Saccharomyces cerevisiae S288C: one gene and its partner. The gene in region 2 interacts genetically with the main gene of each other region. Each region holds a gene or a part of one and is shown on either strand. Other genes may lie near its edges.

Evidence for each region.
Region 1: mutations in YML054C-A (region 2) and PIP2 together harm fitness more than expected from each alone (negative genetic interaction), as found in Saccharomyces cerevisiae (one large-scale study listed by BioGRID).

Annotation. Positions count from the first base shown.
Region 1 is NC_001147.6:1,020,587-1,024,722, forward strand, and holds the start of PIP2 (oleate-activated transcription factor PIP2), read right to left. Parts: upstream 2,627-4,136; coding exon 1-2,626. Other genes in the region: YOR365C (putative flavin adenine dinucleotide transporter), read right to left, coding at 2,875-4,136. UniProt on the Saccharomyces cerevisiae protein: The PIP2-OAF1 heterodimer acts as a transcriptional activator to induce the transcription of genes encoding proteins involved in fatty acid beta-oxidation, a response called oleic acid induction, when cells grow on fatty acids as sole carbon source.
Region 2 is NC_001145.3:167,005-177,507, forward strand, and holds YML054C-A (uncharacterized protein), read right to left. Parts: upstream 778-10,503; coding exon 619-777; downstream 1-618. Other genes in the region: CYB2 (L-lactate dehydrogenase (cytochrome)), read right to left, coding at 1-304; YML053C (uncharacterized protein), read right to left, coding at 2,112-2,750; SUR7 (Sur7p), read left to right, coding at 3,398-4,306; transcription regulator GAL80, read left to right, coding at 4,590-5,897; AIM32 (Aim32p), read left to right, coding at 6,135-7,070; U2 snRNP complex subunit RSE1, read right to left, coding at 7,216-10,503.

The sequences.
Region 1 (4,136 bases), on a different chromosome or scaffold from region 2:
AGTTGAGTAAAAGTTCAATTGTGGGTGTATTATCTTTCATGTTTGGTTTTGATGGATTCAGAGAATTTTGTGGGTCAGCAACACCGATGTTTTTTATTCTGTCAAATTCTTTGATGATTTGGTATAATTGATCAAGGGTAAAGTTAACAGTGAGATTTTTGCCCTTTAGTCTATCAATTAAATGGTCAGACTTGTCCAAGTTAATTCCAAGTGTCAACTCCAACATTGTGGCAATTTTTTTGGTAGTCAAGTCTTTGTCTACTTTGACAAACAAACCAGAAAATAATTGACCTTTCCTCAGCCTTTGAATGAATACGTCAAACAAGGTCAACATCTTGAAAATGTAGAAATATTTAAATCTCAGGTTTTGGGACGCAAGTAAATATACTTCCAACAAAAGCCTCTCGAAGTTCTCCTTGATAGTGTCCAATGACTTTATTTTCTCCTTTATTTCTGGGAGGTCACTAATGTCACCTCTGGCATTGCATTCGTTACATTTGACCAGAAGCATATTTTTGGCCAGCTCTACCCGCATGATGATGACCAAAAGGGTAAACATCGTGGTAGGAACAGCCAATTGAATAACTTTTGTAGTGATGAAACAAACTAAAGAAGAAAGAACTTTCTCGTAACTGCCATTGAAATACAGGAAAAAAAATCTGATTAGGGAAATGGTGTCGGCACAACATTGAAAAAAATACTTATAGAAGAAGGATAAGCATTCGCTTCTCTCCATTGCAAGTGTTTCAAAATATAACATCAGCGCTATTGAGGCCCTTAACATCATTAATTTACCCAAGATCTGGCCCGATAAACTTATAGAATTCAAAATTGAATTGAACGTTAGTTTTTGAAATGTCTTCTCTTCGTCGTAGATGTTAATATCCACACTTCTTAGCTGAAATTTGTTTTTTAAAAGTTCATTGGCTTTAACGCGTAAAGTTTCTAGTGTATCCATTGGAACCGAACCACTGTATGAAATGGTTATATTATTCAAATCAGACAAGAATAATGCTAATTGAGCCCTATGGAAAAAAATCTCATGGATTTCGAGCAGTTGCTCATCCGATTCGGAACCTGTTAGATCCTTCTTAACCCTTTTTTTATAGATTTCTACACAATTGGGATCCCGAACGTCAATGAAAAGATCAATCATTGAAAGGGGTGAGACCAATAGTCTACCCTTCAGGCTTGACTCCAGAGTTGCCATAGAGATAATTGATAGCCACTGTATCCTTCGTAAATTTAGCAGCCTTTTGTCTGAAGCTTCGGGGTGGTTCAAGGCTGGAAAGTCAGATGGGTCACGATGTAATCCGATAGACGTCCCTATTAGTATGACAAGGTTAATTATAACATCCGACGGTTGTTCTAACAGAAAATCACCCTCAGTTGGGGAAAAAACAAATGCACACCAGATATAGAGTAAGCATGAAATGGTATTTTCATTTGCACAAGCACACCAATTTTCCGATGCAAGTATCTGCTGCGCTAGGAAAATTACTTCGCTTTGAATCGGATATTGCTCTAGCATCTCTTTGGTAATATACGGACTGTAATCTTCAATCTTATCTTCTATAAATGTCAAAGAGATATACGCGATCCTCAAAATTAACAGTAAGATACACAGATTCTCCATTTTATTTCGTATAAGGGTTGTGCCCATCGATAGTCGTACCTCTCCTAATTCATTATACTGTACTGTTGTGTGAATTGATTCCTCCAACATTTCCTTGCTGGCGAAAGGGATTAGGTGGAAAATATGCTCAAAGAAATGAGAGAGGTACTGTTCAATGATTGCCTTGGGAGGGAGCGTTTTCTCGATTTCATTGATGTAGCCTTTCAACAAATCAGAATAGTCGTTTTCGGTGGGGCATGTATCCTCTAAATATGACGATTCCCTGTTACTGTATAATAAAGAAATTACTTTATTTACCGCAATCTGTTCTTCAGGGTTCTTTCTCTGTAGTAGCCTGTCCGTAAACTCGTTAATGGATTTTCTTTGTGATTCGTATTTTGAGTTTTTCAATAGAACCTCTCTCATTTTTACAACGTTATTCTTTACGCATGGCTGTGTCCTCGACCTACTAATATCTGCATTTAAAGCAGGAATCATGGAGTTTCTGGAACAACTTAGAAGCACGGAGGCAATTAATGTCTTCAGAAAGGTATCTTGAAATATTAAGTACTTCTCAGATAAAGGGTTGATTTCTCTTTTCATCACTTTGGTCATAATCAATCTGGGATGAGTCTTATAAAGACTTATTGGAAAGCTATTTTCCTGCAAGCTTTTACATGTCCTTCTAGCAGCTAATTCTTCAGTCGGCCTTTTCAATGCAGTGTAGAAGTCTTTCTTTTCTTGAGTCAAATCCACGGTTTTATTTCTCCAGTAACGAATCTCCTTTTTCAGTCTCGCTATGGTGGCATCCTTATTCGGATTCCTAGGGGCCGCCTGTCTGGCGACATCATATATACAAAAGAGGTTTTGTTTAGTACATCTGCCACATCTAGGTTTTTCCTGGTCACACTTCGTCTTTGCTTTTCTACAAGCTTGGCAAACAAAAGAAAGTCTATTCCTTTTTTTACCTACTCTATTCATTGCCGGTGATGATTCGTCTGTAAAGTACATCTTTTATCGAAGAAATTTTGTTCAGCAAGATCAGAAAGTGATATTTCATCCGCTCTATACGTTTCAGTAGATTTTCTTTATCTGACCTCTATTAAGTCCTAACAACGCTTTATGTTTTCTTCGTTGGAGATACTCCGGAGATTATATTTAGTTCCGAGATGGTCTTACAACCTTTCAAATTCCAAAATCAGAAGAAATTTTGCAGGAAGGCAAATCCTACCGGACGTATTAGTCACGATTTTATTTATTCACATATACAGATATTCACAGTTCGAATTTTGTTTACAAAGGTCAATCTTATTGATCTGCGGCTTTTGAATACCGTTGCATTCAAGAACGGCTTTCTTCATTTCGTGCAGTTCCGGGACCGATTCGTAAACCGCATCATCATCCATTTCACCCTTCAAAAAGGATCGTCTTTGATCATCAATAGGTTTGTATCTTGTATCAGGGTGTTTGTAGTATATTGCCATCGTAAAGCATATCAATATGAAAATGAAGAGATACAAAGAAAACGCTGCATTTAGAAAAAAGAAAATTAGTCCCATAAAAGAAGACACAGCTATGGGCTGCTGAAATAAGTTACTGAAAAATAAGAAAAAAAATGCGTTCACTAAATTCAGTGAATGGATACTAATATTGAAGAAGTTGGTTGTTTTATCCATGTAAGGTTGCATCCAGCACAAAAGGATGAGATAGATAGCTTCATTCAAAAAGATACCAATAGATTGAGATTTTCCGTGCGCTTGTAGAGAACCCACTAGTATAGACCTAATAAGCATGTGTGCAGAGGTCGCCATTAACCACCAGACTTTTGTAGACTTAAATTGAGAGGAAAGAAAGCCGAACTTGTTTAAGAATTTCGAGCTACTGAAGAGTAAATAGCTTGGCTGGCCAAATATTTTCTTAGACTTGATCATCTTCCTCCATATTCTTACGCTTGCGGATGATAACAAGACTGTAATCAAAATGAAAACAACGATTGCCTCCACTAAGGTAGCTGCTGAGTCTGTTTGAGTGAACTCCCAAAGTGCTAAAAGAGATATCTCAGAATAAATTATGAACACCGCTCGATATAGTGTCCCCTGTAAAAGTGCACTCCAATGTGTGTGGAAGTGTAAATATCTAATTGTCTTAACTTTAAACTTCTGAAGTACTTTCAAAAATGTTTTGAAGATAATAAACGCCAATATTATCATACAAATGAATATGATAAAGAAGGAAAATCCCGTTAAAAAGAAATTTGATATCTCAATTCCAGCTTTGTAAGACACCCTTTTAATACCTCTTAATACTAAAATTTTTGACAGATAGTCATTTGAATTTCTCAAATTTGAAGTGTATAATAAATCATTTTTTTGGGAACTTTCAATACCATTTAAATTACTTGACGCTGATATGATTTTACTGTTCAAGGATCTTTTTTGAACACTGATCGATAAAACTTCTTTATTGCGGTATACAACGGTGGGGGACCCAGATGTTGCGACAACATACCAGTCAAATAACC
Region 2 (10,503 bases):
GCTTGTTATGCTTGGCAACTTCAGCGGGCGAAATCTTTTGTTTATTCATATCCAGTTTCGGCTCGTTGTCTATTTGGCCATTATGCCAGTTTAGATACGCCACGGAACTAGTAGCGGCTAGAATTGCACCGACTCTCAAGGCAGTCCATGACTGTGTGCGTTTTCTTGAGTCTTGTTCGAACGACTTGGATTTTGGAACGGTAGAACCGTACGCGCGGATTGTGTTCAATCTAGTCTTAGACGCTCTGAGGATAGCAGCCTCACAGTTCTTCGAGATTTTTAGTAAAGGTTTGTATTTTAGCATTGACTACTTTTGTTTGCTTTCTTCTCTATGCGGGAACTGTATTAGCGACATAGGATGTAAGAATACGAAAAGATGCAAGAAGATTAGTCGACCAGGTACTTATATATTCACATACTCCAACTGAAAGTATTGGAGATCTAAGGTTCAGCAGTTGGTTCTTGGCGGTTCTTGTATGACATTATTATTGGTCGGGTCGTAGTTCTCTCGAACAGGAGGAGGGGGCAAGGAGATATCGGCAGGCTTTTTGCTAGCGCCTTGTTTGAAAAGCGTGGGGGTAGGTCTCCAAGCGATTATTGAGGAAGTAGTTTCAAGTATTACAGAGTCCAGGGCACAAGGGTCTTCATTATAGAGAGAGAATTTTCGTGAAAAAAATGGGCAGAATGCCACATGTTAGCAATGCAACGACTTGAGTGGGGGGTGATCCTTCCGATGTATGCGTGAAAGATCTCGTGTTGTGCAGGAAAGGGAATCATTTCGGAAAAAAAAGATGCAACAAGGAGGATGGCATGTGGATACTACGTTCTTGCGTAATATCCTTTTTGTTGCCTGTGTTAATACGTGAGCAACATTTTTTGTTAAAGTAGGCGATCAACTATTGCCCCCTGATATTGGTAGTAATTCTGCTAAAATATCGGCTGAGAAATGGTGATTCTCAAATAATTGCTGGGATTCCACTGGATATGGCCCCATTCTTAGATATATGGAACGTAGTAGAAGGCCTCTTAGAGGCTATGGGAGTCTCTCAAGAGAAAATCGACATTTTTACGTAATCATTCGTTCATTTCACTTTATACGTCATGATTCAATATCGTATTACTTTATCAAGTACCCGCGTTTAAACTTCATTAAATGACTGCGTCTCAATCTTTATGTCATCCTCCCTCCGCAAGTGACAATGTACTGGTAAAATAAAAACTAACTAACTAGATGATATTTTTAGAGTTTTATTCCAACGTTTCTCAATAGGCGATGGAGGAACAGAGTGAATATAAGAGGCTCTGTGGATTTATGGTTACCGGATTTATTTCGTAAATTCTTATTGAAGAATGGGTGAATTTTGAGATAATCGTTGGGATTCCATTTTTAATAAGGCAATAATATTAGGTATGTAGAATGTACTAGAAGTTCTCCTCGAGGATTTAGGAATCCATAAAAGGGAATCTGCAATTCTACACAATTCTATAAATATTATTATCATCATTTTATATGTTAATATTCATTGATCCTATTACATTATCAATCCTTGCGTTTCAGCTTCCACTAATTTAGATGACTATTTCTCATCATTTGCGTCATCTTCTAACACCGTATATGATAATATACTAGTAACGTAAATACTAGTTAGTAGATGATAGTTGATTTTTATTCCAACACTTATATTCTATATATCCATAACATTGTCTACATATAATCCGAGAGGTTACGACAACATTCATATAATAAGGGTAGTACTGACACTTTATTTTGAAGTAAATCAAAATAGTCACTCTCGGTAGCCAAGTTGGTTTAAGGCGCAAGACTGTAATTTACCACTACGAAATCTTGAGATCGGGCGTTCGACTCGCCCCCGGGAGATATTTTTTTTCCCTTTTTCTCCAGGCCTAGTGAGGTTTGAGTTTTGAACGTTTTATAGATAGATGTAAGGTAGCCAGAATGAGCACTTAGCCTTTAAAGTAAATTGAGTAGAGATACGTAAACAGTCGTGATAAATATGTAATACATTGTATTATTTTAAATAGGTTAAATTTTCTTTTTTTTTTTTCCATTTCATTTTCATTTTCATTTCCTGCAGTTATTTTTTTTCTTATTAATCTATATCCATGTAATCGTTAGCGATATTGTTGTTAGTCAACGCGGCCATGGCAGTACCGGGTGCTTGTGATGCAATTATACTTTGGGATGGTAGAAGATGATACTGGTGTTGTATAATACTAGCACTTCCAGTAGGACTCGTGCCTGTTATGTCGCGATTAGTGTTACCGAAATAACCATGAATCATGTACTCTTCTGTTTCAGAATAAAATTCAGATTCGTTCAGTAAGCGGCTGTTCATAGTGTGGTGCATACTAACCGGTTTCAGGGGACATATTTCGATATTTTTTTTATAATGAATATTATTGTAGGTTGCAGTATTATTGCTGTTATTATGATTATGGTTATTATTATTATTATTGTTGTTGTTGTTGTTGTTGATGATGATGTTGTTGTTGTTGTTATTAAGATTAGCACACCCGGAACCGACCGAAAACTTTGTACTTACAGAATCTCGTTTTGTTCTCTTCGATCTTTGGTAGAAAGTGTGTGTATCAAACTCGAAATGGTCATTTTTTCTTTTATTCATGATCGTATCATTATTGGCGTCGCTGTTGTATGTAGTGGCGGCATTGCTACCGGAATTGCAATTGTTTGTTTGGAACGCAGTATTGTGTTCATAGTATGAGAGCATTTCACGCAGCACACTTGAGTCTTAAATTAATGAATAAAAGCAGCCAACCCCAAGAAAAAAGAGCCCTTATCTGTTTCTGTCGCAGTCCTATTGTATTCTTCCTAACTATATAATTTTGTCAAAATGAAAAATATAAAAAAAATAATAAAGTCAGCTGAGTGGTAAAGAGAAAGCAAAGGGAGAGAAAAATCGGTTACCCAGATGGATTAGGTTACCCAGATGTCATACGTGTATCATGATTTCTAGAAATTATTACCCTGTTTGGTACCATGACAACGGATATGGCAATCTTGCATTAAGTAAAATGTCTCTAATGGGACCGTGAAGGTACAAAACAGCAATGGTCTAGGTAGTGGCATTCGAAGCTTCGAAAGCGTGGCCTCGCCTCGAGCGTGAAGTCATATTTTCTCACTCTGCACTGCCGTGCTGTGCCATGTAGCCCACTGTATGCCTCTAGCACCCCAATCGGGAAAATTGTAAACATTAGCAGGTGTCGCCTCGAGGCCCCCGATACATTTTTCAACATCTCCTCGATACTTAAACAGCAAACAAACAAGCAACACCCACGCAAGAAGATTTATTAATACCTCTTGACTCCCGTAGATATTGAAGAGACTAAGTATAGTAACGCATATCCGCACAATACTATGGTTAAGGTCTGGAATATAGTACTACGTCTGGTAGTGTTGCTGTTTTTAGCAGGTAATACCTTGCTGTTAATTTTGATGATTATATCTGGTGCCACGGACCATTACCCCGTGAACAGATTCTATTGGGTGCAGGGCAATACAACAGGCATACCTAATGCTGGGGATGAAACACGTTGGACGTTTTGGGGCGCCTGTCTACAGGATAAAGACGGGTCGGATACCTGCACAAGCAATTTGGCACCTGCATACCCCATTTCCCCAGTAGATAACTTCAACACACACATCAATGTCCCTCACCAGTTTATTTCCAAAAGAGACGCTTTTTACTACCTGACTAGATTTTCATTTTGTTTCTTTTGGATTGCGCTTGCCTTTGTAGGTGTGTCGTTTATCCTTTACGTTTTGACTTGGTGCTCGAAGATGCTTTCAGAGATGGTGCTTATCCTCATGTCTTTTGGGTTTGTCTTCAATACGGCAGCCGTTGTCTTGCAAACGGCCGCCTCTGCCATGGCAAAGAATGCTTTCCATGACGATCATCGTAGTGCCCAATTGGGTGCCTCTATGATGGGTATGGCTTGGGCAAGTGTCTTTTTATGTATCGTGGAATTTATCCTGCTGGTCTTCTGGTCTGTTAGGGCAAGGTTGGCCTCTACTTACTCCATCGACAATTCAAGATACAGAACCTCCTCCAGATGGAATCCCTTCCATAGAGAGAAGGAGCAAGCAACTGACCCAATATTGACTGCCACTGGACCTGAAGACATGCAACAAAGTGCAAGCATAGTGGGGCCTTCTTCCAATGCTAATCCGGTCACTGCCACTGCTGCTACGGAAAACCAACCTAAAGGTATTAACTTCTTCACTATAAGAAAATCACACGAGCGCCCGGACGATGTCTCTGTTTAAATGGCGCAAGTTTTCCGCTTTGTAATATATATTTATACCCCTTTCTTCTCTCCCCTGCAATATAATAGTTTAATTCTAATATTAATAATATCCTATATTTTCTTCATTTACCGGCGCACTCTCGCCCGAACGACCTCAAAATGTCTGCTACATTCATAATAACCAAAAGCTCATAACTTTTTTTTTTGAACCTGAATATATATACATCACATATCACTGCTGGTCCTTGCCGACCAGCGTATACAATCTCGATAGTTGGTTTCCCGTTCTTTCCACTCCCGTCATGGACTACAACAAGAGATCTTCGGTCTCAACCGTGCCTAATGCAGCTCCCATAAGAGTCGGATTCGTCGGTCTCAACGCAGCCAAAGGATGGGCAATCAAGACACATTACCCCGCCATACTGCAACTATCGTCACAATTTCAAATCACTGCCTTATACAGTCCAAAAATTGAGACTTCTATTGCCACCATTCAGCGTCTAAAATTGAGTAATGCCACTGCTTTTCCCACTTTAGAGTCATTTGCATCATCTTCCACTATAGATATGATAGTGATAGCTATCCAAGTGGCCAGCCATTATGAAGTTGTTATGCCTCTCTTGGAATTCTCCAAAAATAATCCGAACCTCAAGTATCTTTTCGTAGAATGGGCCCTTGCATGTTCACTAGATCAAGCCGAATCCATTTATAAGGCTGCTGCTGAACGTGGGGTTCAAACCATCATCTCTTTACAAGGTCGTAAATCACCATATATTTTGAGAGCAAAAGAATTAATATCTCAAGGCTATATCGGCGACATTAATTCGATCGAGATTGCTGGAAATGGCGGTTGGTACGGCTACGAAAGGCCTGTTAAATCACCAAAATACATCTATGAAATCGGGAACGGTGTAGATCTGGTAACCACAACATTTGGTCACACAATCGATATTTTACAATACATGACAAGTTCGTACTTTTCCAGGATAAATGCAATGGTTTTCAATAATATTCCAGAGCAAGAGCTGATAGATGAGCGTGGTAACCGATTGGGCCAGCGAGTCCCAAAGACAGTACCGGATCATCTTTTATTCCAAGGCACATTGTTAAATGGCAATGTTCCAGTGTCATGCAGTTTCAAAGGTGGCAAACCTACCAAAAAATTTACCAAAAATTTGGTCATTGACATTCACGGTACCAAGGGAGATTTGAAACTTGAAGGCGATGCCGGCTTCGCAGAAATTTCAAATCTGGTCCTTTACTACAGTGGAACTAGAGCAAACGACTTCCCGCTAGCCAATGGACAACAAGCTCCTTTAGACCCGGGGTATGATGCAGGTAAAGAAATCATGGAAGTATATCATTTACGAAATTATAATGCCATTGTGGGTAATATTCATCGACTGTATCAATCTATCTCTGACTTCCACTTCAATACAAAGAAAATTCCTGAATTACCCTCACAATTTGTAATGCAAGGTTTCGATTTCGAAGGCTTTCCCACCTTGATGGATGCTCTGATATTACACAGGTTAATCGAGAGCGTTTATAAAAGTAACATGATGGGCTCCACATTAAACGTTAGCAATATCTCGCATTATAGTTTATAAAAGCATCTTGCCCTGTGCTTGGCCCCCAGTGCAGCGAACGTTATAAAAACGAATACTGAGTATATATCTATGTAAAACAACCATATCATTTCTTGTTCTGAACTTTGTTTACCTAACTAGTTTTAAATTTCCCTTTTTCGTGCATGCGGGTGTTCTTATTTATTAGCATACTACATTTGAAATATCAAATTTCCTTAGTAGAAAAGTGAGAGAAGGTGCACTGACACAAAAAATAAAATGCTACGTATAACTGTCAAAACTTTGCAGCAGCGGGCATCCTTCCATCATAGCTTCAAACATATTAGCGTTCCTGATCTTCATACCCGTGCTCAAAATGATCAAACAAACTGTTATTGCCAAGAAATAAACGCAAGGCTGCCTTCAAAAACTGATCCATTAGATCCTCATATCAAGCTTCCTCATAGAACGCCCAATTACAATAAGCATGTTTTGCTGTTATCACCGGGTGATAGGTTTGCTCAACCATGGAAGGTAGCATGGAATCATAATTTGGATACTAATACAAATCGGCCATATAATGCCATTAGTAAATTGCGCTCCCATTTAGGTGGTTCTCCAGGAATACTAATAAATGCGGTGCATTTGCAAAATGAATTTATTCCAAGGCCAAAACAACACGATGAATGGCTTTATTTTTTTGTTATTCCTGACATGAAGCTTTATGTAATTAAGGAAACGGACATCGAGGAATTTGCATCTTTTTTAGATGAAGGAGCTATTCAAGCACCAAAGCTATCCTTCCAGGATTATTTAAGCGGTAAGGCCAAGGCTTCCCAACAGGTTCATGAAGTGCATCATAGAAAGCTTACAAGGTTTCAGGGTGAAACTTTTCTAAGAGATTGGAACTTAGTCTGTGGGCATTATAAGAGAGATGCTAAGTGTGGAGAAATGGGACCCGACATAATTGCAGCATTTCAAGATGAAAAGCTTTTTCCTGAGAATAATCTAGCCTTAATTTCTCATATTGGGGGTCATATTTTTGCTGGTAATGTCATTTTCTATAAACTATTCGGCAGAGAAAAGATGCAAAACAAGCTGGATTCATTATGGTTTGGTAAAGTTTACCCACACAACTTGAAGCTGTTATGTGAAAACTTGGAAAACGGTAAAATCATCGACGAAATGTACAGAGGTGGCATATCGATGAATTAAAACGGTTTCCTTTTAAAACAGAAATAAAGATGAGGTGAAATTTTATATTTCTTATATTTAAAGCTATCATATATTCCTTGTACATATATTTATTAAGAAAATACATTAACACGCCTTTATACTTGGTATTATTACTGTAAAATCATTACATGTAATTTGTTCTGACTTCGTTGATTGTTTGAATTATATCCTCCACTTGTACACTCTTTAAATTTTTGGCCAAAAATTCCTGCTCATTCAAGGAAAGTCTCAGGAAATTTTCACATAAATCACCATCAATAACTTTACGTACAGGGGCATAATAGCTTCTGTATTCTTGGTGGTCTCTACCTAAAATGGAACAGGAACCCTCACATATTATTTCATCCTCTATACCATGCCGTCCTTGTAACACAACACTTCCAGATTCCTCTTCATCGTCTTCCTTACGCATATTGTTATTCTTCTTTCTTGATTCATAATCTAAATAAAACGTATCATCCGCCTCAGCCATTATATTCTCAATGTTTCCCATCATAAAAACATTCCCCTTGGATAATAAGGGGATAAAGCATCCCACGGTTCCTTGTAAGCCCATATAGATACAACCAGGTCTATCAGAATTTGAAAGGCTGTCCAGGATATGGAAATCAGTGATGATATCATTAACAAAGAAGTGGTTCAGTAGTTGAAACTTGAACTTGCAATCATAAGTATTGGGTAATTTCTGCTGTAAAGTGATGACGTCTAGTGGGTACTTGATGGCCCCATTAGATAATTCGCTGGGATCATGATTTGACATGATTTTTTCGCACTCTGGTGGAGACCTTAAAGTCCACGCATTTCCATATCTATCAGCGCCTATAACAGTTGCCTCATCTAGAAATTTCAATACCGTCACATGGCGTTTTACAGAGTCATCTACGTACGGAATAAATACATTCCCCGCAGGATCCCAGATAAATAAAGTGACAGATTCATGTATATCACCAACGGCCAGTCTTTCATAATTCCACTGGTGCATAGACACAATTTTTGTTATGGATACCGGGGTCTGTGTTACGGACCTTCTTAATAATTGCTTTTTCCCCAAACCATAAAGGACAATAGTGGAGCCCATGGCTGTCAGCAAGAAGTTTTTAAACTTCAACATAGCATGTATTGGTGAAATGATTTCTGTTTGGTGAAGTAATTCAATATCAAAAGATAGTTTATCTTTGTTAACTAATATCTTGTATGTTAACAGCCTTTTGTCGCCAGCACAAATGATCAAATGATCAGCTTGTCTTGTGAAATCTATTATAGCAGCGGAAACGCAATCGATATCGTCCAGTATCTTGTATAAATGATCCGAACTGCCAAACTTTAAGCATTCACCATCAATTTGCAGTGATATACGGCATTGTTTCTTACCACTGTGATTATCAATAAACAAAATGCTTTTCGGATTATTGGGAAATGATAAAATAGTACGAGGTCGGAATGTAGATATTTGTAACATTTCCATTTCTTCTTCCATTTCATCTTCTTCCTCTTCATTGCTTTCATCTCCTCCACCGTTCTCTTGCTTGTTAACACTTGATTCATGAACGTGAAACCAGTTATCCAAAGTTGGAAAGTTGGAAACTCTGCCAATATTTAAGCGTCCTGAGCTCGATATTGAACAAACACCGTTGATTGCAACATCTGCGTTAACAAATTTGGAACAACTTAGCATGTTTTGATCCTTTAACTGCCGTATGGTCCACACATTTTTCCACGTGTAGCTTACCCATGTAGAAGAGGAATGGCAAACCACGCATGACATCCATTTAGCTCCACTACTATTTATTTCTTCTTCTTCTTTTTCATCATCATCGTCTTCTTCTTCTTCTTCTTCTTCCTCATTATTTAGTGATACAGATATCTCACGCAAATACGAAAGGGAAACAGGCTTCAAGCCAAGGAATCGCCTTTTTATGTCAGTGAACGATCCGTCAACATCCCCTATATGAAATTTCATGTAAACGCCATTTTCTAAACCTACATGCAAATTAAGCTGTCCTATTGAGGAATCTCTAACCATTATCATGTCAGAAATCTTTTCACTAACTAATTGCAAACTTATTACAGTTAAAAAATCTTCCTTTTGGTCTTTAAGAGACATTATTTTGATCATACCCTCATTGTCAGCAATGGCTAATAAATCAGCATGCTGCGTATCTTGCACAATCGCAACTTTAGAGGGCATTGTGTCCAATTCTGGGTGGGTGGTTAATTCGATTAACGAATCCGAAGATACATCTATCTTGAAATAAACCAATTCGTAATTTGATAATGATATAATTAGTTGTGTTTTCGAGGACGTGGCACATACAATACGAATTCCCGCTGGTGGCACCCAAGTCAGCTTATTAGAATACCTAGATTTACCAGTCGGTACGATATGTCTTAGTTCTGCGGTGCATACTTGGATAATAGAGTGTGAGCCCATTAGGCATGTATGAATTGTTGTGTCCTGAGAGAGCTTGAAAGCTGAACGCGTTGCTTCATCCGGTGTTAGTTCCTCCATGGACTCGTTGTCAATTTGTAGTATCATAGTTTTCTTGGGAAAAGTTATGAACAAAAGAGTATTGTTATCGCCGGTTGTTGCAGGATCGGGTATTAGCCATAACTTGGTTGCGTTCGGGGGTAAACTAGTAGATATCAAATTAGAGTAATTCACAGCATTTGTTAAAGTTATTATCTTGTTGTTTGTAAAATGTTTAGTGGCGATAGACAGTGGCGAATCACTGACAATTTGAGATTTTATTGAAGGGTTCAAATTCAATTGTTGCGATAATATGCTCAAATTCTGCAACTTTATGGATGGTTCGAAAACTAGCGACTTATTTGGATCTTTTGAGGTTAAAACATTAGAAAAATCATTTTTCTCTACACCAAGTTTCTCAAACTGGAAAAGAAAGTTGTTATTCATTTCAGATAGTGCAAAAAGATAACCGTTTTTGAAAATGTGTAATTGGTGTGAATTTTGGATTGTATCAAAGTAGGACAATTGAACTAAAGGTCTATTTCTATCATTAGTGTCTGGACTTACAGTTAACTTAAAAAGATCGCCATGGTTAGATTGTAAAAGTACGAAAAAATCATTTTTCAATTTCTGCACTATGCCTGATATGATTGTTACATTTTTATGACGGCTATTTGTGATAGATCTTTTGGGTATTTCCACTTTCAGGCTGAAAAATCCGTTCATATCCTTTACCAGAATATGATTTTCGAAGCCTATGACAACAAAAGGGTTGAAAAGGGTATCATAGTCAGCATCATAGTTGTTGTCGCTTAGCGAAGTTGTTATATTATATCGCGATAGATCTGGCAAACTCAGTACGAAATTGGCAGATGGGTTAACTAAATAATCTGCCTTCTTGACGATGTGATTCAAACCCAACTCGAGGACATAAAATATCAAGTG